Tamandua tetradactyla: one gene and its partners. The protein of the gene in region 3 purifies or fractionates together with the protein of the main gene of each other region. This does not show direct contact. Links are inferred from orthologs where the notes say so. Each region holds a gene or a part of one and is shown on either strand. Other genes may lie near its edges. The genes, in order: PDCL3, TLE2 and CCT8.

Evidence for each region.
Region 1: the proteins of CCT8 (region 3) and PDCL3 purify together in Homo sapiens (affinity purification with mass spectrometry; 3 studies listed by BioGRID and IntAct, with this or other methods). This does not show direct contact. The link is inferred for Tamandua tetradactyla from reciprocal best matches to the Homo sapiens genes CCT8 and PDCL3.
Region 2: the proteins of CCT8 (region 3) and TLE2 purify together in Homo sapiens (affinity purification with mass spectrometry; 3 studies listed by BioGRID and IntAct, with this or other methods). This does not show direct contact. The link is inferred for Tamandua tetradactyla from reciprocal best matches to the Homo sapiens genes CCT8 and TLE2.

The regions. Positions count from the first base shown.
Region 1 is NC_135343.1:6,153,316-6,161,400, forward strand, and holds the start of PDCL3 (phosducin-like protein 3), read left to right. Parts: upstream 1-4,999; 5' UTR 5,000-5,125; coding exon 5,126-5,131; intron 5,132-6,683; coding exon 6,684-6,810; intron 6,811-8,085. UniProt on the Homo sapiens protein: Acts as a chaperone for the angiogenic VEGF receptor KDR/VEGFR2, increasing its abundance by inhibiting its ubiquitination and degradation.
Region 2 is NC_135337.1:79,384,243-79,392,276, forward strand, and holds the start of TLE2 (transducin-like enhancer protein 2), read left to right. Parts: upstream 1-4,952; 5' UTR 4,953-5,223; coding exon 5,224-5,247; intron 5,248-5,358; coding exon 5,359-5,456; intron 5,457-5,751; coding exon 5,752-5,815; intron 5,816-6,282; coding exon 6,283-6,327; intron 6,328-8,034.
Region 3 is NC_135336.1:88,345,247-88,352,661, reverse strand, and holds the start of CCT8 (T-complex protein 1 subunit theta), read left to right. Parts: upstream 1-4,346; 5' UTR 4,347-4,447; coding exon 4,448-4,507; intron 4,508-6,641; coding exon 6,642-6,732; intron 6,733-7,415. UniProt on the Homo sapiens protein: Component of the chaperonin-containing T-complex (TRiC), a molecular chaperone complex that assists the folding of actin, tubulin and other proteins upon ATP hydrolysis.

The DNA of each region.
Region 1 (8,085 bases), on a different chromosome or scaffold from region 3:
AATTGGGAGTATATTTAGAGAGAGACATTTATGTAATGTGCGGTTACTTCTATGTATAGTTGGTGCTGATGGTCCAAGGGTGGGAATGACTTCCAGGAATAACTCCTGCGACCGCTCACCCAGCATGACAGGAAGTTGCAGGCCGGAGAACATACGGTGATGTGAATGAAATCCACGGAGCTCCCTCCCTGACTCGACACATCTGCATAGTTCTAGAAGAGACGGGCTTTGACATGTGGAGCCAGAGGTCATCTATGGTATCAGATAGCCAGTCAGAAGATTAATTAATGAAAACTATGCTGTTTTTCTGGATTTTGCCATGTTTGTGGTATTTGTCAGGTTTTTAAAATGGGTGATTTGTAATTATTTCTTTTTAATTCTAAGAATTCATTTTTATGCCTTGTGGTAGTTAGATTCAGTTGTCAACTTGGCCAGGTGAAGGCACCTAGTTCTGTTGCTGTGGACATGAGCCAATGGTATGTGAGCCTCATCTGTTGCTGATTACATCTGCAGTCGGCTAGGAGGCGTGCCTGCTGCAATGAAAGATGATTGACTTAATTGGCTGGTGCTTAAATGAGAGACTCAACGTAGCACAGCCCAAGCAGCTCATCATACTTCATCTCAGTACTCGCAGCTCAGCCCAGCCTTTGGAGATGCAGAAGGGAATCACCCAGGGGAAAGTTGTTGGAACCCAGAGGCCTGGAGAGAAGGTCAGCAGAGATTGCCCTGAGCCTTCCCATGTAAGAAAGAGCCTCAGATGAAAGGTAGCTGCCTTTCCTCCGAAGAACTAATGAAATAAATCCCTTTTATTAAAAGCCAATCCGTCTCTGGTGTGTTGCATTCCGGCAGCTAGCAAACTAGAACAGGCCTAATTTTATACTCGTGCATTTGTATTTTTTCTTAAAGAGGCCTCCAAGCCTGCACGTGCCTCAGTCCAACACCCCTGTGTCTACCCCTAAGCAGAGGCTTGTGGGAGGGTTTTCACTCCTGTCCTTTTCCTGCCACCTCTGCCCTCTCCCCCCAAGAGTCCATAGCGTCCATTAATTTCCAGTTTCTTCCCTCTATGATTCTATTGGCAGAATTAAGCAAAAATGACTTTACACAAGGAGAAAGTTGTATTTTAAAATCTTTCCTTTACCCAAAGGTATCCTGTTGTGCCTATTATTTCTATGTAAAAAAAATTAGGTTGTCAAATTCATCATACTTTCAATTTATTTATCCTGGATTTTGAGTAATAGTCACCGAAGGCTTTCTTCATTTTTAGTTTATAAAGAAATTTTCTCTTGTTTTCTACTAGTATTTTTATACTTTCCATTTTTATTATATACCCTGTGAAGTATGTATCCAATTTTATCTCTTCTCAGATGGGTCTCCAGTCTTCCCCACACCTTTTACTACAAACATTGCCCCCTGCCCCAGAGCACAGAGAGCACGGAGCATGCACTAATGTTTATATGTATTTGGCTCTATATCTGGACTTATCTAGAACACGTTATGCTGCTTAATCTATTCGTACGTTAATACCACATTGTTTAATATCTGGTAGGGCTAGCTCTCCACCTTCACCTTTGCTCCTCTTGTTTATTTTCCCATAAAAACTCTGGAATCAAGGTTAATTAGAGGCATAAGAATTAGAAAACAGACAAGAGGTTTAGCCTCAGAAAATAATTTGCTGGTGTTCTAGTTTGCTAGCTGCCAGAATGCAACATACCAGAAATGGATTGGCTTTTAATAAAAGGGGATTTATTTTGTTAGTTCTTCAGAGGAAAGGCAGCTAACTTTCAACTGAGGTTCTTTCTTACATGTGAAGGCACAGGATGGTCTCTGCTGGCCTTCTCTCCAGGTCTCTGGGTTCCAACAACTATCCCCAGGGTGATTTCTTTCTGCATCTCCAAAGACCTCGGCTGAGCTGTGAGTGCTGAGATGAGGTATGCTGAGCTGCTTGGGCTGTGCTGTGTTGAGCTCTCTCATTTAAGCACCAGCCAATTAAGTCAAACATCATTCATTGCAGCAGGCATGCCTCCTAGCCGACTGCAGGTGTAATCAGCAACAGATGAGGTTCAAGTACCATTGGCTCATGTCCACAGCAACAGAACTAGGTGCCTTCACCTGGTCAAGTTGACAACTGAATCTAACTACCACAGCTGGGTTTTAACATTTAGATCATGTTAAATTTTACATATGAAATTGGGGAAACTTGACTTCTCTAGGCTGTTGAGTCATCCTATCCAAAAATAAGAGATGCTTTTCAATATACCCAAGTCCAATTTGTATCTTCAGGTATGTCCTATAATTGTTCTCATGCAGGTTTTCTGAGCACTTAAGTTTACTCCTAAGTACTTTTTCTTTTCTGTTGTTATTTAATTGGAGTCCAATATATCTTCTAGCTTGTTACTGTAAGTATACGTCAATGAAGGCTATTTTCTGTATGCTAATTTTATATCCTTCTCCTAGACTGAGTTCTCATATTGCTGGTATGAGTTAAAGCTTTGATTTTCCTGAGTTTTCCAGATATGCTAACACATCAGATAGAAATAGAAATAGTTCTGCCTTTTCTTTTCCAATCCTGATGCCTCTGATTGTTCCTCCTGAGCCCTAACTATCTTCTGCAGAACCAAGAGTGATGGAAGGTTGGAAAGGTCTTTGGGGAAGAGAGGGGCAGTAAGAGGGACTGGGATCTGGAGCCAGGGGGACGGAACAAGACTTGGACAGAAGAGGGGTGCCACCTTTCCTGCTAACAGGAGAGAGAAACAGAGTATAGCATCTGGCTTATAATGGGTGGCAGGAATGGGTCTTGTGGTGAAGAGACAACTGCAGACAGGGCATGTCTTGGGAAATGGCCAAGGCTGGGATGAGGGAACAACATGGCAGCACCTGGCTGTGAAGGTCCGAGACAGAGCAAGGCATGGGGCCAAACCCACCCCAGACAAGTCCAGTCCTGATTTCTGCATGAAAATTCAATCACGAATGCTGCCAAGTAAATTAATAAACACACTTAAAGACCTGCAACTTTGTGGGAAGGAGTTAGATAAATTTTTAGGCTCCTTATAAATCATTATTCATTCTACATCAACGGTTGTACTCATTAACATCACCCAAGGACCTGTAAGAAAATATCAAGTCTGGGGGCATCTCCAGGGATTAAATTCGTCTGGGGATGGAGACCTGGAACATCTGAAGTGTAAGGCTTCCAGGCAGCCAAGGTTTGCAGCCCTGAGCCTCCCCCACAGGTGCGTGGTTCTCTATTACCTGTGCCTGCTTCATTGCCAGGAGATGGCAAGTTAGCTCAGATGTCCTTACTAGGGCTGAATATTCCTCTATTAATTCAGCCTCAAGAATGATGGGGCTGTGGAGGCCCTGGAGCATAGAACTTGAATTTTGCAAGTCAGACTGCAGATTTGTACTCCGTGCCTCCTGGGTGCTGGCTGAGGGCTAAGTACTTGTGCATATATATAAGTGTCCCCTGAGGTTAATCAGGTGAGAGGAATTTCACCTGTTTTCGTTTTTGTAAACAATTTTTTTATTATTAGAGGGGTTGTAGGTTTACAGAAAAATCATATAGAAAATACAGACCCCCACATTACCCTCCTTAAGACTTTGCATCAGTGTGGTACCTTTGCTACAATTAAAAGAATATTAATATACGTGTACTATAAGTTTACATTAAGGCTCACTGTTTGGGTTGTACAGGCATTTTATTTATTCTAATAACATACATGCAACCTAAAATTTCCCCTTTTAACCACATTCAAATATACAATTCAGTGCTATAATCACATGCCCAGTGCTGTGTTACCATCGACACCAAACCCTTCCATCACCCTAAGCATAATTTCTGTACAAATTAAGCATTGACTCTCTTCCCTATTCCAACTTGATTCCTGCTAACCTGTACTCTAATTTCTGACTCTATGAATTTGCTTATTCTGATGACTTCATATCTGTGAACTCATACAGTATTTATCCTGCTGTGTCTGGCTTATTTCACTCAACATGCCTTGAAGGCTCATTCCTGTTTTCTTATGTATGAGGACTTCATTTCCTTTTACAGCTGAGTAATATTCCATTGTGCATATAAACCATGCTTTGTTCACCCATCCACCTACTGACAGACACATGGGTTGGTTCTATCTTTTGGCAATTGTGAATAATGCTGCTATGAACATCAGGGTGCAAATATCTACTCATGCCCCTGCTTTCAATCCTTTTGGGTATATATCTAAAAGGAGTATTGCCAGGTCATATGGTTTCTATATTTAACACTGTGAGGAGTCACCAAACTGTTCTCCACAGCACATGGACGACTTTACAGTCCCACCAACACTGAACAAGTATTCCCGTTTCTCCATGTCCTCTCCAATACTTTTTATTTTTTTAATAGTAGCCACTCTAAACAATGTGAAATGGTATCTCATTGCGGTTTTGATTTGCATGTCCCTAGCAGCTAATGGAATTGAGCATCTTTTCATGTTTCACCTTCAGAGAAATGTTTATGCAAAGTCTTTTGCACACTTTTAAATTGGGTTGTCTTTCTGTTGTTGCGCCACCTTACTGTTTTTTACAATTTGCTCACTCCTGTATCTTCAAGAGCTTAAACTAGTGCCTGAGACATAGTAGGTGCTCAATAAACATTTGTCTAATGAATGAATTGCCTTATCCCACGAGGCAATGATAGAGAGTGGATTCCCGTATCATTATTAATTGTAACATCTGACCACTGACACGCATTCCCACTTTGATATCTTAAAGCAGGCTTCCCACTGTGGAGCAGAGACCCCCTTACAGATTCGGACGCCTCCGAACACCTCCTCCTTTCACTCTACCACGTCTCACGTGAGACACGCCCCGAGAAGGAAGTTTCCAGGATTGGGTTCCGACCTTGTGAACTGCCGACCCGACAGACACCAGACCCGGCCCATACCGCGCATGCGCACCGCTTCTGCGCCGGCATACCTAAGCTGTCGGCGCAGACGCAGAAACCTCGGCATCACCCTGGCCCCGCCCAGCTCGCCCCCGGGGGGCGGGCGAATGCCGGGCCGGGGGAAGGGGCGGGGCGCGCGTGCGCGGACGAGAACCGAGGGGAGAGGGCTCCACGGCCGGCCTAACCTGAGGGACTTGCGGCAAGATGCAGGTGGGTGAGGTGGCGGGCGCGGGGCCTGGAGGCTGTGGTCGCCTGTTGGTTGGCTGAATCCCCACGGCGGCGGACGGTCCTGGCCCGGCCTACGGAAAGCGCAGGGGGCCACGGGCCGCTGAGGGGCCGCGCGCAGGCGTGTTGCGAGCGGGCGGGCGTGGTCCCTCCGCCCTCGGCTGCCCCCGCGCGCGGCGCTCGCGGTCCAAGGCTCGCCCCTCGGGGGCTGCCCCTGCGCGGGCGGGTGCCGCGGACCCAGGGCGCGGCTGAGGCTGACTGGAATTGGAGACGGGGAGACGCGGAGGCGCCGCCGGAGTCGCGGGGCGCGAGTTCGTGCCCCTGTTGAGCGCTGGTCTGCTTTTGGGTCCCCCCGTCCAACCCGGGGGGCCCTGCCCAGTGCCGTCTTCCGCCCGGAAGCGGATAAGACCCACATCCCCTAGTTTTGCCCCTTTTACCACATCAGGAATGTGGCTCATACCGAAGGGAAGAGGAAAGAAAATGCGTATAAACTCCGTGGGGATGACGCCTGCAGGAGCAGACGTCTGTGGCGACTGAATTTTGGTCTCCGCTCGCCCAGTATGGCCTCGTGGCTGTTGAGGACGCTGCCCCGAAGGTCATTTCGCTGCCTCCCAGATCTCACTTTGTCAAGAATTCTGGTTAAATAGCCCTGGGGTTGGGAAATGCCGGTAGTGGGGGTTGGCTTGGGGTGGGGGGCGGTGGGCGTGGGGGCTGGCGAGGTTCCAACTCAGGCACAGATAGGCCGTGTCTGCCACGCGCACACACACTATTACATGTTGAAGAAGAAGCTCGAGGGCTGCCCTGGCCTCCTTTGCGAAGGTGGCTCCTTTCCGTTCTCTGACCTTTAGGTCCTTGTTCAAAAATGTCACCTCTTCAGAGGCCTTCCCTGACCACTCTGTTGAACGGATTCTCCTTTCGTTCTTCTTTCGCTGTCTCTCAGGAAGCCAGTAACGCAGCTGAGGACGGCACTGGTTACCCCAGTGCCCATTCTCCAGGGTTCCTTGTTGGTTTTCTATCCCGTACCAAGTCTGAGCTCTTTTAGCCATGTTTCTACAAAGCCATGCCAAACCATCGCCTGGGTTGCTGGGCTCTCCATTGAAGAGCCCACCGCGATGTTTATCCTTCTGAGATTTGATCTGGGTAAATTGACCTGCCTTCTCTGTTGAATGAGCACTCTAGGTCTTTAATAGAAATGCTTGGCAGAAGCAAGGTTCGAGACTTGACATCAGCATCAATGCCAGTCCGCACATCACATCCTGATTTTTACCCCAAGACTAGCTGTGCTGTGGGTGGAGGGGGAGAGAGAGTGCAGGAGAGGAGCAGAGGGAAAGAACAGAGCAGGGGCTGTGAGTCATTTGACCCTTTCTCAGCAGTAGACCTCAGGATTATTTGGTTTGAGTTCCTCTCTTCCTACTGCCTTTCCAGTTTGACCCCATGCCCAGTAGACTGCCCTCCATGCTCTACTTCATCTTCACGGCGTCCTGGGCCCTCCCCACTGGACTCTGCACTCACGGTGTGCTTGACCCTCCTGTTCTAGGACCCCAGTGCGGACACCGAGTGGAATGACATCTTACGCAAAAAGGGCATCTTGCCCTCAAAGGAAAGTGTGAAAGAATCGGAAAAGGAGGCAGAGGAGGAAGGACGAGTCCTTCAGCAGTCAGTTGGTGAGCTCACGTGTTTTCTTTATTTGTTCCCTGTCGATCTAGCTTAGGAAAAAAACTTTCAAAATGTAACTGCTGTGATAGAAAGTTTCATTGAGAAAGAGAGTGCTGGCACAGACACTGTGTGACGTCAGGCAAGTCACAGGAGGTCTCTAACCTTCACCATCCCGGGTTGTAGAATTAGGGGGGCTTCCAAGGCTTCTTTCACTTCCATTGCTGCTTGTTTGGGTCAGATGAGCACATGATAGTCCCAAAGAAAGTATTTCTGAATCTAACTTTCTAGCCTATGATTCACTTTGGTAATGTCACAGAAATTTTTTCAAAAGAAGTTTTTTTGCTTTTGTTTTCCTCTGAGGTTATACTTTACTATCTTTGTGGTTTGATGGAGGATATTAAATTAAAATAGATTAATTTGGAGAGGCATAAGATGTTTGCAATATATGGGGTCTAAAAGAGGTTTACTCAAAGATGGCCATAACACCTGCATTGGACTCCCTTTGGGTGCTTTTTAAAAATATTGCCAATTCCCTGTAAGTTAGACTCTCTGGGGGTGAGGCACGGGAATGTGTATTTAAACAAGAGCCTCAAATGATTTCTGTTGCGTGGCAAAGTTTGAGAACCACTGATCACAACAGCTGGTACTTTTGCCCCCTATTTACATGTTAGAGCTAATTTATTGAAGAATTTCTTGTAATGCACTTTTCTAGTAAGTGTTTATTGAAAGATTACTGTGTGTCAGCTGCTGTTTTAGGCAATAGGGATTTAGCTGTGTACAAGCCAGACAAAATCCCTGCCTGGAAATTTATATTCTAGTAGGGGAAATAGACAATAAACAATATAAGTAAGTAAAATAGGGAAATGGGGCAAGGAAGGGGCTAGAAAGGATTGGAGAAAAGGTGGGAACAGTTCTAGACAGGCCAGAGTGGGCCTGCCTGGGAAGCTGACATTTAAGTAAAGAGCTAAAAGAGAAAGTTGGTGGAGATGACGTTTGAGTAAGGAGCTGAAGGAGGCCTTTGAAAAGACTTGAGAGAGGTGGGACAAGCTACTTCAGTAAGTGAAAAGTGGGCCTGGCATATTGGAGAATCTGTCAGGAGAACCCAGTGGGACTGGGAGAGAGTTGTAGAAAAGAGTTCAGAGAGGAAGCTAGAGGCCAGATGATTTAGGACATGTAGGGCTTTTACCCCTAATGAGGCAAGAAGTCGTTGGAGGGTTTGAACAGTGGATGGATGTGTCCTCCATTTTGGCAACTCCATTGTTTTACTGCCTTGTTGACAGTAG
Region 2 (8,034 bases), on a different chromosome or scaffold from region 3:
CCTCCCCGAGGGAGCTGATTTCCCGGCCCGGGTCGGATCAATGGGCTGTAATTATACCGCGCCGGGCTCGGAGCCGGCGGGGAGGGAGCGGGAACTGGCAGGAGGGAGGCGGCGGGCGATGTGTGTGTGTTGGGGGTGGGGGGAAGCGCGGGCGGGAGAGGGACCCACGTTACTTTGATTGACAGTCCGGGCGGCGCGGCGCGGGAGCTTCTGGGAATCGTAGTCTTTCCGAGAATCCCCGCTCCCGGCTCCTCTCCAGTCTACCCTCCGGGGAAACTGAGGCACGGAGATGAGCTCCCCGCTTCCCACCTCCAGCCCCTGGTTACAGACCAGCCCTGTGATGCCTCCCCCATCTGACCCTCTGGGGACAAAAACTTGAAGCCTCAAGGCTCCGTCCGGTGCGAGTCTCAGCTCTTCCCAGGGCGTCAAGCAAGACTCGACTTCTTTCTACCTCAGTTTCCCTTTCTGTAAAATAGGGTGCAAGGCGCATCCTCTGCCAGGAACTGGCCGGGCTTCTGCGAAGTGCACGGTGGACGAGGGACTACAGTTTTTAAGGGGGGACCCGTCAGGCCTAGCGGGTGGCCCGCTCCCCCTGGGTTTTGGATACCAATCGAGCCGAACCCCGACTCCACCCGGCAGGACTGGGGCGTCCACTAGGGTCTCAGCTTCTCCAAGGGAGGGGGAGCCTCCCTCGCCTTAGCCCGCTGAGAGCCCAGCCGCCTTCCGATTGGTCCAGCCTACCCTAGTGCCTCCTGCCATTGGCTGCCGGTTCCTTGGTCTCCCATTGGCCAGCTTCTATTGTGACGTCACGGACCCATGTGGGAGCGCCGCGGGCGGATTGGCTGGCGCGCCCAGCCAACCACCGCGGAGAAAGGAATTTCCACAGTAGCTGGGGCGGCGAACTTGATTTAAGGTGGTCTGAGCAATCCCGGTTCCTGGCGCTGCTTCTCAGCTTTTTCTTTCAAAAGAAGGAAAAAAAAAATCCACACTGTAAAAACCCAGGCAGGAGCCGGGGCGAACCCTTGCTTTGCAGCGGGAGAGGAGAGCTGGGAAGAGAAGCCTCTTCCTCCATTCTGCAGAGGGGGAAATTGAGACCCAGACAGATGGAGTGGGAAGCCCTGGATAGCGAACAAGTTAGCTGGGGGAAGTCTTCTCAGTGGAAAGAGCTCGGCGTTGCCCAGGCTTTAACTCACGCCTGCTGAGCCCTTTCCCTGCCTCCTGCTCGGGCCGGATGTGGCATTTCAGCGAGTTAGCGAGGATTAGCTGCCCAACCGCCCCCCAGCCGCTCACAGACTGCTTTCCTCTGAGCCTCACCATCCGCCCACTGTCCCCCCCCCGCCCCCCGGCCCCTCAAACTGGGGACACTGCTGCTCAGAGCAAAACGTCTGTCCTTCTAGCGGATGTACACACTAAGATAGTGTGTGTGTGTGTATTTGTGTTTGTGTGTGTGTTGGGGGTTCTCCCACAATCCGCAAATCTGTATTTACTCTGCCTATGGCGTGTGCCTGGCTGCAGAAATGCGAGACTGGTGAGTGGGAGTGGGCAGGTCCCCTCCTCCAGGAAGCCTTCTCTGACTTGTCGAACAGAGCTCCCCCTGCTCCCTGCTCTGTGGATCCCTAAGTCCCAAGAGTAGAAGTGTTCAGCTCTGTCTCCTCTCCCCACCCACCATGGGAGCCCCCCAAGGGCAAGGTCTGGATCTTTTTTGGGACTCCCAGTAGCTTCCAGCTTAGGGAAGTGGCTACCGAATAAATACCCATTTATCTACCTACATCAGACTTTTTGTGTTCAATGTCCTGGGGGCAGGATAGGAGATACCTTTTGGGGCTGGGTCTCAAGAGAAAATGGACTTCCTCCAGGCAGCAGAGGAGGTACAGGGGATTCCCAGCAGAGATAAGCACAAAAGCAAAAGCTCAAAAGGTGAGAAAGTAGGAAAATAGGCAGATCAGGTCTTTTGGTCAGTGCCCCTGGAGCAGGGGAGGGGTGTGTGATCAAGCACATATAGGTGAAACTGGGCAGGGTGGGTGGTGCAGGGTATCCCATACTAGCTTGAGGAGTTGGGAATTTGTCCTAAGGGCAATAGGGAGCCATGGGAGGGTTTTAAGTGGGAGGGACAGATTTAGGGAAAGCCACAGGAGGGGAGGCTGCTCAGAGGGAGAAGGTAGCTAATGGTCCAGTCCGGAGAGGAAGAAGGCCTGGTCCCTGGAAAGGGTGGGGGGGGGGGGTAGGGGAAGCTCGGGGATGGGAGGCTGGGTTGCACAGCAGACAAGGAGAGAGGGTGAGCTAGGCAGATGTTTAGGTGACTGATTTGGGGGATCAGGGTGAACTGTGGGACTTGACAGGGTGAGGACCCGGTCTGGGGGAAGATGCTGGGTCTGAAAGCCCAGTCAATGTCCAGGAGATATGCCCAGTTGGAAGCTGGACGTGCAGGGCTGGGTCTCAGGGGAGGGTCCCGGAATGGGCCCAGAGTTTGGAGCATCCTCGAGAAGCTGGACGTGGTGGCACCGAGCCTGGCCAGGAGACCCATCTTAGGAGGGGAAGGCAGCCGCCAAGTCAAGAGAGAATCAGAAGAGGAGAGGCTGCTCTGAGAAGGGCTGGGAGACAAGGGCCAAGTTTAGGAGCTTCGAGTTTGAGAAGCTCAGAGGATTTGGGCAAGAGAAGGCTCAGGAGAAGGTGGGAGTGCATGAGGAGCAGATGGGGGGGCCTGGGGGCAGGTGTGTGTGTGTGTGTGTGTGTGTGTGTGTGTGTGTGTGACTATTTGAAGTTGTGGTCTAAGGAGGGGAAATCTGGGAGAGGCAAGACACCTTCTGGAAAGAGTTTAGAGTCAGGACTTTGTAGACCCTGAGAATCTGGAGTCAGGAACTGCTGGCCCTGTGGAATTGGGGAACCTGGTATTTCTTAGAATTCCCACTAATTTCTGGCTTTAGCCCCGTCAGCTGTTTCTTCTGGTCAGTCACCTCCCCGGACTACCTGTCCATTTATTGAGCACTTACTGTATACCAGGCCCCACAGGGACCAAGAACAGGAGCTTAGGGAGGGAGCCAAAAACAAATAAAGCAACCTATGGCTAAACATGATTATGTGAAACAAACGAAGACACCTCTGATAGGAGCTAGAAGGGGAGGGAGTAGGGCAAGACTCATCTTTGGGAATTACAGAAGAGGACATGTGACACTGCTTAAATGGGGATGGGGGTCAGGAGGGGGCTTCCTGAAGGGGGGATATTTGAGCTGAGAACTGAGTGATGAGAAGGAAGAGAAAAGGGTATTAGGCAGAGAACACAGCCTGTGCAAAGGCCCTGAGGCTACTCTGGACTGGGCGTGTTGGAAAACAGGATGCCCTCATGGCTGAAGCAGAGGGAGCAAATGGTAGGGCAGGAGGAGGGGAGGGTGGGTAGTTGAGGGGTGTGGAGGGGACTTGAGCAGGGTCTGGTAGGTAGGAGGGACTTGGATTTTATTTATTTATTGTTTTTTGTTCGTTTGTTTTTGGATTTTATTTTAATGGCAATAGGGAGCCATTGACTATTCCCTGTAACACACACACATCCTCATAACTTCCATGGCAGCCCATCTTCACCCTTCAAGTTTCAGCTCAAAGGTTAACCTCCTCAGAGAGGCCTCTCCTAGATAAATAGCCCCTTTTGTGAGTCTCTATCACTGCTCCCTAAATTATTCCTCTGCATATGCAAAAAAGTCCACCAGGACATAACTCGGGTCTTGCTCCGTCTGCCCTTGAGGGGCTTTTGTGCCAGTTCACTTACTCATTTCTCCACAGTGGATGGGCCACTGACACAGGACAAGGGTTTGTCAAGTTTGGTCCTCTGCTGTCCCCAAGAGCCTACAGCAGTGTTTGTTGATTGACTTAACAAATGACCCCCCCCCCCCCCCCCCCGAGGTCTCTCATCTGCAAAGTTGAAAGCAAGAACCTTCCATCTCCCAGTGTGTATGAGGGAAGCTCTCCTGAATGTTTGTGATGGGAGGTGGGAGAAGGAGCCCCTGCCTTTACCGAAGACCTCAGTCTGCTGGCAGAAATGCCGTTTTCCATAGCCTGAAAGGGAAGACAGCCCAGTCTGCTGGCAGAGGCAGTCGGAACCCTACCTTCCATCTCTGGCAGTTTACTCCGCTTCAGGCCAAACTCCGGACTGTTCCTGTATCACCTGCTTCATAAATAGCTCCCCACCCCCCTACCCCACCCCACCCCTTTTACAGATGAAGATCCTGTGTCGCCAAGAGTGAGCAAGGACTTGGCCCAAGCCAGTACGTGGTGGAGTTCCGTCTCATCTGGGGCGGGGTGGGGGTGGGGGTAGGGGGGGTGGATTGTTTGCCTCTACAGTTGTTTGCCCGGTGGTCTCACCCCCCCACCCCCACCCCAACACTTCTTCCTCATTCTTCAGTCCTACCGAAATTTTCTGGCCCCAAACTGCCACCCACCCCTAAACTACTTACCACACTGAGCAATTAATTGCATGTGTATTTGTTGCCTTGCTTCCCTCCCCCGTCACCCCCCACCCCTGTCTTCCCATTTCTCTCTTGGGCCTACCCCCCCCACCCCGGGGAGGGTATGCAGGACTGGACGCGAGCCTCAGTTTACCTGCCCGTCAAAGGGAGTGTGTGTGTGTGGGGTGTGCGATTCCCGGAGCGCCACAGCCTGGGGCGGGGTTGGGGTGGGGAGCAGGGGCCCCAGGGCCCTGGCGCGGAGGGCTTGGGGCTGTGGGGGGGGCGGGCCAGGGGGGCGGGGTGGGGGTGGGGGTGGGGGCGGCGGCGCCACCTTAAGGCGGCTCTGCCCGCGGCTCCCGGCCGAGCCGGGCCGGAGGGAGGCGGCTCCGCGCGGGGCCCGTCGCCCGCACAGCCGCCGCCACCACCGCCGCCGCCACCGAAACCCGGCCGCGGCCCGACCTTCTGCGCCGGCTGCCGCGGCCGCCCGCGCCCCAGTCCCCGCCCCGGGCCGCCGCCACCGCTTCCCCGGCCACCCCAGCGCGCGCCCGGGTCGGGGGAGGAGGCTCCGGCGCCCCCCGCGCTCCTTCCCCGCGTCCCCCTCGCGCGCTCGGGGGGCGCCGAGGACTCCGGGGTCCCCCCCCTTCTTCTTCTTCTTCTTTCTTCGGGCAATTTCCCTTCCGGCTTCTCCACCTCCCCCCCCATACCCCCACCCCTACGCCTCGGGGCTCCCCCCTACCTCCCCGATATTGTCAAGCTCCGGCAGCGTGGGGGGCCCTCTCGGATCGGCAGGATGTACCCCCAAGGCAGGCACCCGGTGAGTGGGGACCCCGGGCGGCGGGGATGAGGGGCCCCCAGGGGCGTCCGGACACTCAGACCTGGACGTTCTCCACCACCACCCCCCGCACCCCCACCTCCCGCACCCCAGACCCCGCTGCAGTCGAGCCAGCCCTTCAAGTTTTCGATCTTGGAGATTTGCGACCGGATCAAAGAGGAATTCCAGTTCCTTCAGGCTCAGTACCACAGGTGTGGGGGGGGGCGCCCCAAGGGTCGCGAGCGCGCACCTGGGAACCCCGGGGCGCGCGGAGGGGCGGGGCGGGGCGCGGCGGGGGCGGGGCCCCCTGGGGGGCGACGGGAAGGAGTCCAGGTGGAAACGCAGGTGACGGAGGTGTCAGGGAGGGGGGACAGTCACTGCTGGGGAGGGAGCGGACAAAAGCCAGCAATTTGGAAAAGAGGCCAGATGGGGTCTGGGGGGGGCTCCTGCTGGGGGTGGGGTGGGGCAAGAGCAAGCGGGACCCCCATGCCCCTTTTTCCTCCCCAGTCTCAAGCTAGAGTGTGAGAAGCTGGCCAGCGAGAAGACGGAAATGCAGAGACATTATGTCATGGTGAGGGGGGTGTATGGTGCCAGGGTTGGGTGGGGGGGGGGGACGGGGACTGGCTGTGGGTGAAAATCTTCCGGTTTATATCTTGACCCCCCTACACACCCCTACCTCGGGCCCAGGCTGCTCCTCTCTGGCCTCATTTCCCCAAACTGTAAATTGGGCTCGGAAAGTCTTCCTAGCTCCCCGGAACAAGGAGAGAAGGATGCCCCCCATTTCTCTGCATGTCCATCTCTGAGGGGACATGGTGTCTGGGCGCATCCTACCTGCCCCCCCTGCTCGGGGAGAGTGGAGGGCACTGTCTCTCCAATGGGAGCCCTTACTTCCTCCTCTGGCTCCCTTCCTGCCACCCCTTGGGGCTGAGAGGTTCAGTGTCCCTCTCTGACTCCCCCAGTCTGGGGGCCCCTGGAAGACCCCAGCCCAGGATATATATTGACATCCTGGTCTTTCCCAATTTGGTTTTTTCTTTGCAGTACTACGAGATGTCGTATGGGCTCAACATTGAGATGCATAAACAGGTAGGGTTTCGCCGGGAGGGTGGGGGTGTGGAAACTGCAGGAGGGACCCAGGCAGCCCCAGCAGAGACTGCTGAACTGCTAGGTGAGGGACGTACTAGAGGTGACTTCTGTCCTGGCGGACGACCAGGGAAGATAGGTTTGGAGACCTGAGATTCTGAAGTTGGGTATCCTGCGGGTCTGAGATGGCCCACATTCAGGGTTCACTGTTTTGAATGTTCTGAGATTGATGCCAGTGGAATTGGCCAGAAGGTTCTGAGACTAACCCAAGGCTCTGAACTTGATGCCATTATTTAGACTGACTACGACTCCAGGACTTTTCTGTGACTATTCTCAGGGTTTTGAGACGAACCCCAATGGAATGAGGTTCTGAGACTCTTCCCGAGCTTCTGGGTGTCATCTAAAGGTTCTCAGCCAGACATGAAGGTTTTATGAGTGTCCTCGAGGTTCTGAGTTTGACCCCCGTGTCCTGAGAGCGGTCACAGAGTGTCTGAGTGTGGTCTCAATGTTCTGAGATAGATCTGAAGGTTCGGTGACTGTCCTCAAGGCTCTGAGGTTGACTTCAGTGGTAGGGTGTGAGGGACACGGTTCTGAGACTCCTGCCAAGCTCCTGAGTGCAGTCTTGAGGTTCTGAGATTGACCCTTATGTCCTGAGATAGACTCAGGGACTGAGCTCAAGGTTCTTTGATGGTTTCTAAGGTGATCCTATTGGACCCAAGGTTCTGATGTTGATGGGTCCTTAGATTCTGTCCATTGGCATATTAGAATCAATGGTCAGAGCCAAAGTTTGGGACTTCCAGGTGAAGGATAACAAGAGGTAGATGTCCGGGATCAGGGAATGCCTGCCCTGGTATGTTTTCTTGGGTCTACTGGTTTGATCCAGGTGGAAGGGGGCTTGTCTGCCTGGAGCACGGTGTGGTCATGTGGGTGCATGGACTAGACCCCTTTTATGGGGTGGAGGGCATGGGGCAGGGACCAGGCTTCTCTCCGTCCAGCTGCCATCCTCCCCATCCTGGTACTGCCCCCCTGCAGGGGCGCAGGGGCATAGGATAGCAGAGGTGGGGGCTGACCGATTGTGTTCCTCCCTCCGGCCTCCGGCCAGCACAGTTCCTGGGGCTTTGAGGTCTGGCCAGACACCCCCATGGCTGATATGGGGCCTGACCACACATACAGGTACACACATGGACACATAATCCAGACACATGTGCCAGAAACACACGGCGGACTTATACATGGAAGATATACCACCCTCCAGCCAAGTGCACACACACACACGCACACACACACCAGATTTGTCCAAAGCAGCCTGAGAGGTCAAACTCAGACACAGACCCCACATGGCACATGGCCAGCAGATGCAAAACACATGTCGGGGGGGGGGGGGAGCATACACATGGCAATGCCACGTGCTCCTCCTTCCTTCCCCACCCAGGCAGCTTCTCTCCAGCCTCCTTGAGGGACCCCCAGCTCAGACTCTGTCTGAGATGAAAAGACCTCCTGTTTGTTTCTTGCCTTGAGGTGGGACCCAGGCATGGCTGCCTCAAACCACTGCCCTCCACTCCACCCCCAGATGGGTAGATTGGCCCCAGGTTGCAGAGGAGACCCAGAGAAGGGCCTGCCCAGATGGGACCTGGGGCTCGGGCCCTCTCCCTTGGTTTATGAACTACCGGGGGCTGCCTGGGCCCATGAGTCCATCTCCAGCCACTTCAG
Region 3 (7,415 bases):
TTGATTAGTTCACTGGAATCCTTTAAAAGAGGGAACATTTTGGAGAAAGCTTCACAGCCACAAGAACCACAAGAGCCCATGCAGCCAGAGACCTTTGGAGATGAAGAAGAAAAATGCCCCCAGGTGTGGCTCATGAAACAAGAAACCTGGAAAGAAAGGTGGCAAAAATCGCCATTTCATGGCCTTGAAACTGTAAACTTGCAACTTAATAAATTCCCCCTTTTAAAAGCCATTCTGTTTCTGGTATATCACATTCCAGCAGCTAGCAAACTAGAGCATCTACCTTAGGAACTCATTTCTCCATCATAATCCAGAGCATCTGGAGGCACCACTGTATGGGTGGACTGAGATCAAGAACACACAACTGTAGCTGTGAACCAGGGAGCAAGAAACCAGGTTCAAGAAACAGTTCTTGCTAAAGAGTGTTGGTGGGGTTATGCAGAGAAGGTAGGGTTTAACAAATGAATATGAGTGCTGAATATTGATATTTCTTTTAGTTGCCAGTATCTTAAAGCAGCTAGAAGTGAAAACTTAAAATTGTGCAATTGTAACCCATACCAAACTCCTAAATCTGTTCTACAACTAATTGCTGCATTGTGCTTTGAAATTTATTGCTTTTTGTATATATGTTATTTTTCACAAAAAAAGTCATGAGGAAGAACAAAGGAATGTCAGTATTGCAGGGTGTTGAAAATAGATAGTCATACATAATTCAAAACTTCACCTTCTGTGTGAGACTAAAGGGAGAAATGTTTATTTGGTGCAAAATTTATATTTTGACTAGTGCATTTCCTAGTTTAACTTGTATGGTCAGTTTGATTGAACACCATAAGTACATGGAATCCTGAATAGGGCATGAGATTTTGCTGGTTTGTCTAGGTCAATGTGATGCCCCCATAAATCCCAGAGTGATTTTAAGAGTAAATGAAGTATTTGCAAAGTCCCTTGAAGGAATAGGGAGAAAGAAAGAAATATTCAACTTCCCCATTTGGAGAATTTCTAATACTATTGCAAGCAGTGGGGACAACAAATCAATAGGCCAAGGCCTCAGTCTTGGGGTTTGCCCTTATGAAACTCATCCCTGCAAAGATAGCTAAACCTACTTAAAATTAGGCCTAAGAGTCATCCCCAGAGAACCTCTTTTGTTGCTCAGATGTGGCCTCTCCCTCTAAACTGATATGGCAAGCGAACTCACTGCCCTCCCTGCCCCCCTCTACGTAGGACATGACTCCAAGAGGTGTAAACCTCCCTGGCAACATGAGACAGGAATCCTGGTATGAGCTGGGACTCAGCATCAGGGATTGAGAAAAACTTTTTGACCAAAAGAGAGAAGAGAGCAACGAGACAAAATAAAGTTTCAGTGCCTGAGAGATTTCAGAGTCAAGAGGTTATCCTGGAGGTTATTTTTATGCATTAAATAGATATCCTCTTTTTAGTTTATGGTGTATTAGAGTGCCTAGAGAGAAGTACCTGAAACTGTAGAGCTGTGTTCCAGTAGCCATGTTTCTTGAAGATGATTGTATAATGATATAGCTTTTGCAATGTGACTGTGTGATTGTGAACACCTTGTGTCTGATGCTTCTTTTATCTAGGGTGTGGACAGATGAGTAAAAAATATGGATAAAAAAAGCAAATAATTGGGGGGAAAGGTTAAAATAAATTGAGTAAATTGAAATACTAGTGGTCAATGACAGGGAGGAGTAAGGGGTATGGCATATATGAGTTTCTTATTTCTTTTGCTGGAGAGATGCAAATGTTCAAAAAAATGATCATGTTGATGAATACACCACCATGTGATGATACTGTGAGCCATTGATTGTACACCATGTATAGAATGCTTGCATGTCAAGAATGTATGTTTCTTTGTAGTGCACAATAAAAATATATATTTTTAAAAATCTAATATATATTGGGTATAGGGAAATACTAGCAGTCATTGAGAGGGAGGGGCAAGGGGTATTGTATGTATGAGTTTTTTTTCTTTTTTCTATTTATTTCTTTTTCTGAATTAATGCAAATGTTCTAAGAAATGATTTTGGTGATGAATGTACAACTATGTGATGACATTGCAAGTTACTGATTATATACCAAGAATGGAATGCTCATATGTTAAGAATGTTCTTGTTTGTATGTTGTTATGCTTAAAAAATTTTTTAATAATAATTTAAAAAATCTATTGTGATGATAAAAGAAATATTTATTCCTTCTAGACTCCATGTTCTGGAGCAGTTAGAAGAAAAAATCTGAGATGATGGTATTGTACCCCATGACAAACTCTGGAACATGTCCTGTAACTACTTGTTGAAGACTGCTTTGAAAACTTGCTTTTTTTCTTTCTTTGCTTTGCATATACATTGCATTATACAATTAAAAGGTTAAAAATAAATAAGATACAATTGCTCAGTATTCCTGAAAACCCTAAAGAGTGCCCTTGGTGCTATCTAGTTTGTATAAAAGTTTCTCTTGTTAAGTTTCTTTTTTGGGGGGAAACTTAAGGCCTCCAGATTAATCCTAGGTCAGATGGGTCCTGAAGCTTAGAGGTACCATTCTCTGCAAGAACATCAACCAGTTTCATACCCCTACCCCATAAGGTCAAAACCCATTTCCAGCATGAAGCTAAAATGGTCATTGCCCAGATATCCCTGAAGATTAAGAGAAAGATCAAATGAGAGGCAAGAGGTATAGTTTTGAAATTAGGATTTAACAAATGACTGTGATCACTGACTCATCATATAGATATTTCTTTTTAGTGCCCAGTGTGTTAGAATAGCCAGAGGAAATACCTGAAGTTGCTGAACTGTAATCTAGTAGCCCTGATCTTTAATAATGGTTATATAATTATATTGAAGGGGAAAAAAAGCCAGTTGACCATATTTGTATGGATCTACTTCTGAATATTTTGTTTTTACAATACCACACTGTCTTAGCTAACCTTACTCTGTTTAAGTCTTACAAGTGGGTAGACTGCAATACTGGTGGTCAATAAGAGAGAAGGGTACAGGGTACAGGATGTTTGGGATTTCCTTTTTCTAGAGTAATGTAAATGTTCTAAAAATGATCATGGTGAAGAATGCATAACTGTGTGATGATACTATGAGTCACTGATTGTATACTTTGATGTATTGCATGGCATGTGAATATATCTCAATACTATTACATTAAAAAAAAAACTTAAAAAAAAGAAATGGTTGCCATCTTCACAGCTGCCCTTCCACATGTGCAAAGCTGGTGAGCAACTCCTAGCATAACGCAAAAAAAAAAAAAAAAAAAAAAAAAAAAGTGCATTGTCTCATGACTTTGCTTGCCAGCAGAAATGACAAAGTAACATGAAAATGGACTTTGTCTCCCTGCCATCTTCCAACCTTTATCTGAGTATACCTAATTGGTGGACACTTATTTGTATCCAAAACCATAGCTAAAAGGGACTCTGGAAAATATATTTCAGCTCCTTCGCCTCTTAAGTGCAGGACTGCATACGGTGTGAGAGTCTACCACATTCATCAGGAGAACAATTACTCTGAATTTTACCAAAAGAAGTAATAAACATGGTTTTCATTTACCAACAATCCATTCATAAGGGTTGAAGGAAAACTCCTCTCTCAAGCCAACGGAAGATAAGACTTCATCAATCTCAAGATATGTAAGGAAGGTATCATCAATATAAAATGTCTCACCCGAATTGACTTTTCTCATCTCCATAATCTAATCAGTAGTCATGACTAGTCACAGGTAGGCATCGGAACAACTAATCCAAAATTTAAAATAAGGAACTTTCATTCAGCTCAAAAAGTCCTAACTCCCATTCAATGCACAGTTATTCTCCTTCACTGGTTGATAGTGACTGACATATCCACTCAGTACGTAGCTATTCTTATTGATATTAATTATCAGCTTCACATCCTTAGCACTTCCCACAGTCCACATGACAGAGGAGACGTTCGACTCCCGTTCTGGAAGGAAAATGGCAAGTACTATGTCTCGGGAAGAAAACGTACACCCGCCCTAATGTTGGTGACTGGATCTGGCAGATTACGTAGAAATTAAATTTAGGAGGTGCGGTTCCCAGATCACAAAAGACAAAAATCAAACATCTCCATGGAATCTCGACAGTGACATCACCAAGGAGCGAATCTCCGCCAAGCAAACCGGCTTGGACGCTTGCGCATGCGTCGACTGAAAGGCGTAAAGCGCGCCGAGCGTTGGGCCGGATCGATCGATCTAAACGAGAATCGTCTGCTTAGCTCTGGCTATGGATGCTGCTTTTGTTATCGCGAGACCTCAGAACAAGCGACGAAGGTAGATGTTAGGGGGAAGGGGCGGACTCTGCTGGAGTGGGAGGAGGAGCGTGAGGTCGTAGTACGCAGCTTTCCCAGAAGGCTGCGCGAGAGTCTTGCTTTCTCCGGGATCTGCCGAGCGAGCGCGTGTGCTGGTTCTTTGCAGGCTGGCCATGGCGCTTCACGTTCCCAAGGCCCCGGGCTTTGCCCAGATGCTCAAGGAAGGAGCGAAAGTAAGGGATGGAAGAGGGGAATGAGGTGGGAGAATCGGTGAAGTGTTGCGGCGGCCGCATCGAAGGAGAAAGGCTCACTAACGGCCTGGCATGCTCCACCGGCGCTGCGGGCGGGGAGAAGATTCCAGAAGGGGAGGTGGGCTCTGGAGGGCTCGGCCGCCGAGGCCTGCAGATATTTCCGTTATTCCCTGACGCCGGGAAGGGTAGAGATGGCAGAGGGAGCTGATGAAGGGCAAAGCTGCGGGATTCGCGCTTTACACTTCCTAGCCGAGCGAGTGTAAAGCCATTCATGCACTTTCCAGCCGCAAAAATGCGGCTGATTAGGCTCACCACCCTTTTTAAAGGTCACGTGAGGGTGAAGTCGAATAATAGAAGTGTAATTGCTTTGAAAGCCGATTCATTACGATTCTTGCAATAGTGTCACAGATTATAGGATGGGAAAGGACAAGGACGAAGCGATCCACAAGAGAGCAGAGATACAAGAACGAATTCTTGGTTGTCTCTTTCCAATTTAAAAACGGAAGACTCTCTGAAGCAGTGCATTTTTGTAGGACAGGTACTTTTTGCAGTCCAGATTGGTTCTGGTTCCGGTTTCCTTTCGCAGGCTTGCCGTAAAACTTGGTCTTGCTTTCCTTTTCACTAAATGGAAGAGATTGGATCAGAAGACGGTACATTTGAGTTCTGCCTTGTAACCCACAGAATAAGTGATACCAAGACTCAAATAAAATTATATTGTTTTATGACCAGGTCTTGATTGTAGCATCAGGAGCAGAACTTTAGAATATATATCATTGCATTACTGTCAGATTTGTGTCTCTTGAGTTGCACATAGTGGTGTTCTATCTCCATATTCCTGGGTTGAATTAAATAGATCAGTATAGTTGAAATTTTAAGGGAGGAGAAGTGTACTAACAGTATTAGGGAGCCAGGATCTTATTTGCAGGGTGCACTTTAGGAATAATTTGAATATGCTAAATAAATATGAGGCTTTAACGTAGAATTGTGGTAAGCTATCTTTACTAAAAGTTATACTGCTCTACTAAAAAAGAAAATGAGTCATGCTGAACATCCTCATACCTTCCTATTAATTTTTTCCCATTAATATCGGTTTGGAAAAATTATATATCTCAATGCATTATTTAAGAGTCATTCATATGCTAGACGTTTCCACAGAGCATTTTATGTGAGGTATTCATTCAGGCACTGAAGGGACTGTGATAAAAGACAGAAGTTCCAGGTCTTAGAGTTTATATTCTTCTGAGGCAGAAATAATGATTAAATAATTTAAAATAATGATGTGAAGGAAATAAACAGTACTGTAGTAGATAATGATAGTAACACAAATTGCCTCAAAAAAGAAAGGATTAAGGGTATGTACAATTAAATCAGGGAAGAACTCTTAGCTCAGTGCTGAGTGACAATCTGGAGGCCCAATCCAACTCTAAAAAAGTCCAAAGTAAAATAGGATTTTTGTGTTGTGAGCGATTTGGCAATTTTTTTAATGTGTGCCTATTGGAATTGTGTGGCAGTTCAACCACATTCAAAGTCTATGTATGTTAGTTCCTAAGTGTTTGGAAGCAGATACTTTAGTTTCATTTCGTTTGTAAGTGGAGATTCCTAAAGAACACAGATGTGCTATTTGCAAAGCCCAGGCTTTAATACGATATTATAGAAAAATATACCACATTTCAAGTTTTACTTAGAAAATATTAATAAATTCTGAAAAGGTGTTCTACCTGAAATACCTCATATGCCTTCTGTGATCAGTCTTACCTATGTTACCTTTTCACAACTTACGGAGGTTAAAGACCCTATGATATCTACAAAATCTGTGAATCATTTATGAATACCAAACACTGTGCTTCACATGCCTGAGTTTTGTTTGATTGTCTTAACAGTCCTGTGAGGTGAGTACTATTATTTCCCTCCTTTTGCAGATGAAGGAGTGTCAGGAAAATTGCCCAGTTACTAGCCAGAAAGCTAGAATTTGCAGTTAGCCAGTCAGACACCAGACCCCGTATGCCAAATTCCTAAGTCATACTGGTTCTGTACTATAAGATAAAAGCAAAGATATCTTGTATTTAAAAATTCTTGTGTTTCATTGTCCTTTCTTATTAAAAATGCTCTTGTATAGCATTTTTCAGGATTGGAAGAAGCGGTGTACAGAAACATACAGGCTTGCAAGGAACTTGCCCAGACCACTCGTACGGCATATGGACCAAATGGTAATCTCTAAATTCATGTTTAAAAGCTACGGTCCTAGAATTTTGTCTGCCTGCTCTTCTTTTAAACTTATTCTCTGGGTATTATGTTTAAATTGAGCTATTTTAACAATATGGTTTTTAAAGTTACTTCAGAATTCAGTGGTACCAATACAGTGTTTACAGTTTTCAGTCACCATCTCAGATCTCTTTAGAAAAATAGAAATCAAAATGTTACTTTTTTTATCCTGTTGAGAGGATAGAAAATTTATGGTACTTTCACCATTGAAATAGTACCTAATGTTCATTGTGACAAACTCTGAGTAGTCTTATTTAAAGTGACATAGTTTAAGGGATAAAGTCCTCTTTCTTCCTCTTACCACTAAGTGAATTTGATACAGGTTAATCATCATAAAACCGAACATATTTTTTTGGTCTCTGTATACATTAATACAGTTTATTTATTGAACACTTGTTGCATGTCAGGCATTTCCCAAGTGGAAAATAAGTATAATAGGGCAGAGCTTCTGTTCTCCAGGACCTTGTAATGTTGAGAAAAGGTAGTTGTTTTTTAAAAGAGAGAGAAATAAGCAAAACTGTGACAAGAATTGTCATTCCCCCAGTAGGTATTATAGGGGATCAGAAAGGAAGGACAATTACAGGCCACATGGTCATATGGCTGTGAAACAGTCTTAGTAGATAGTATG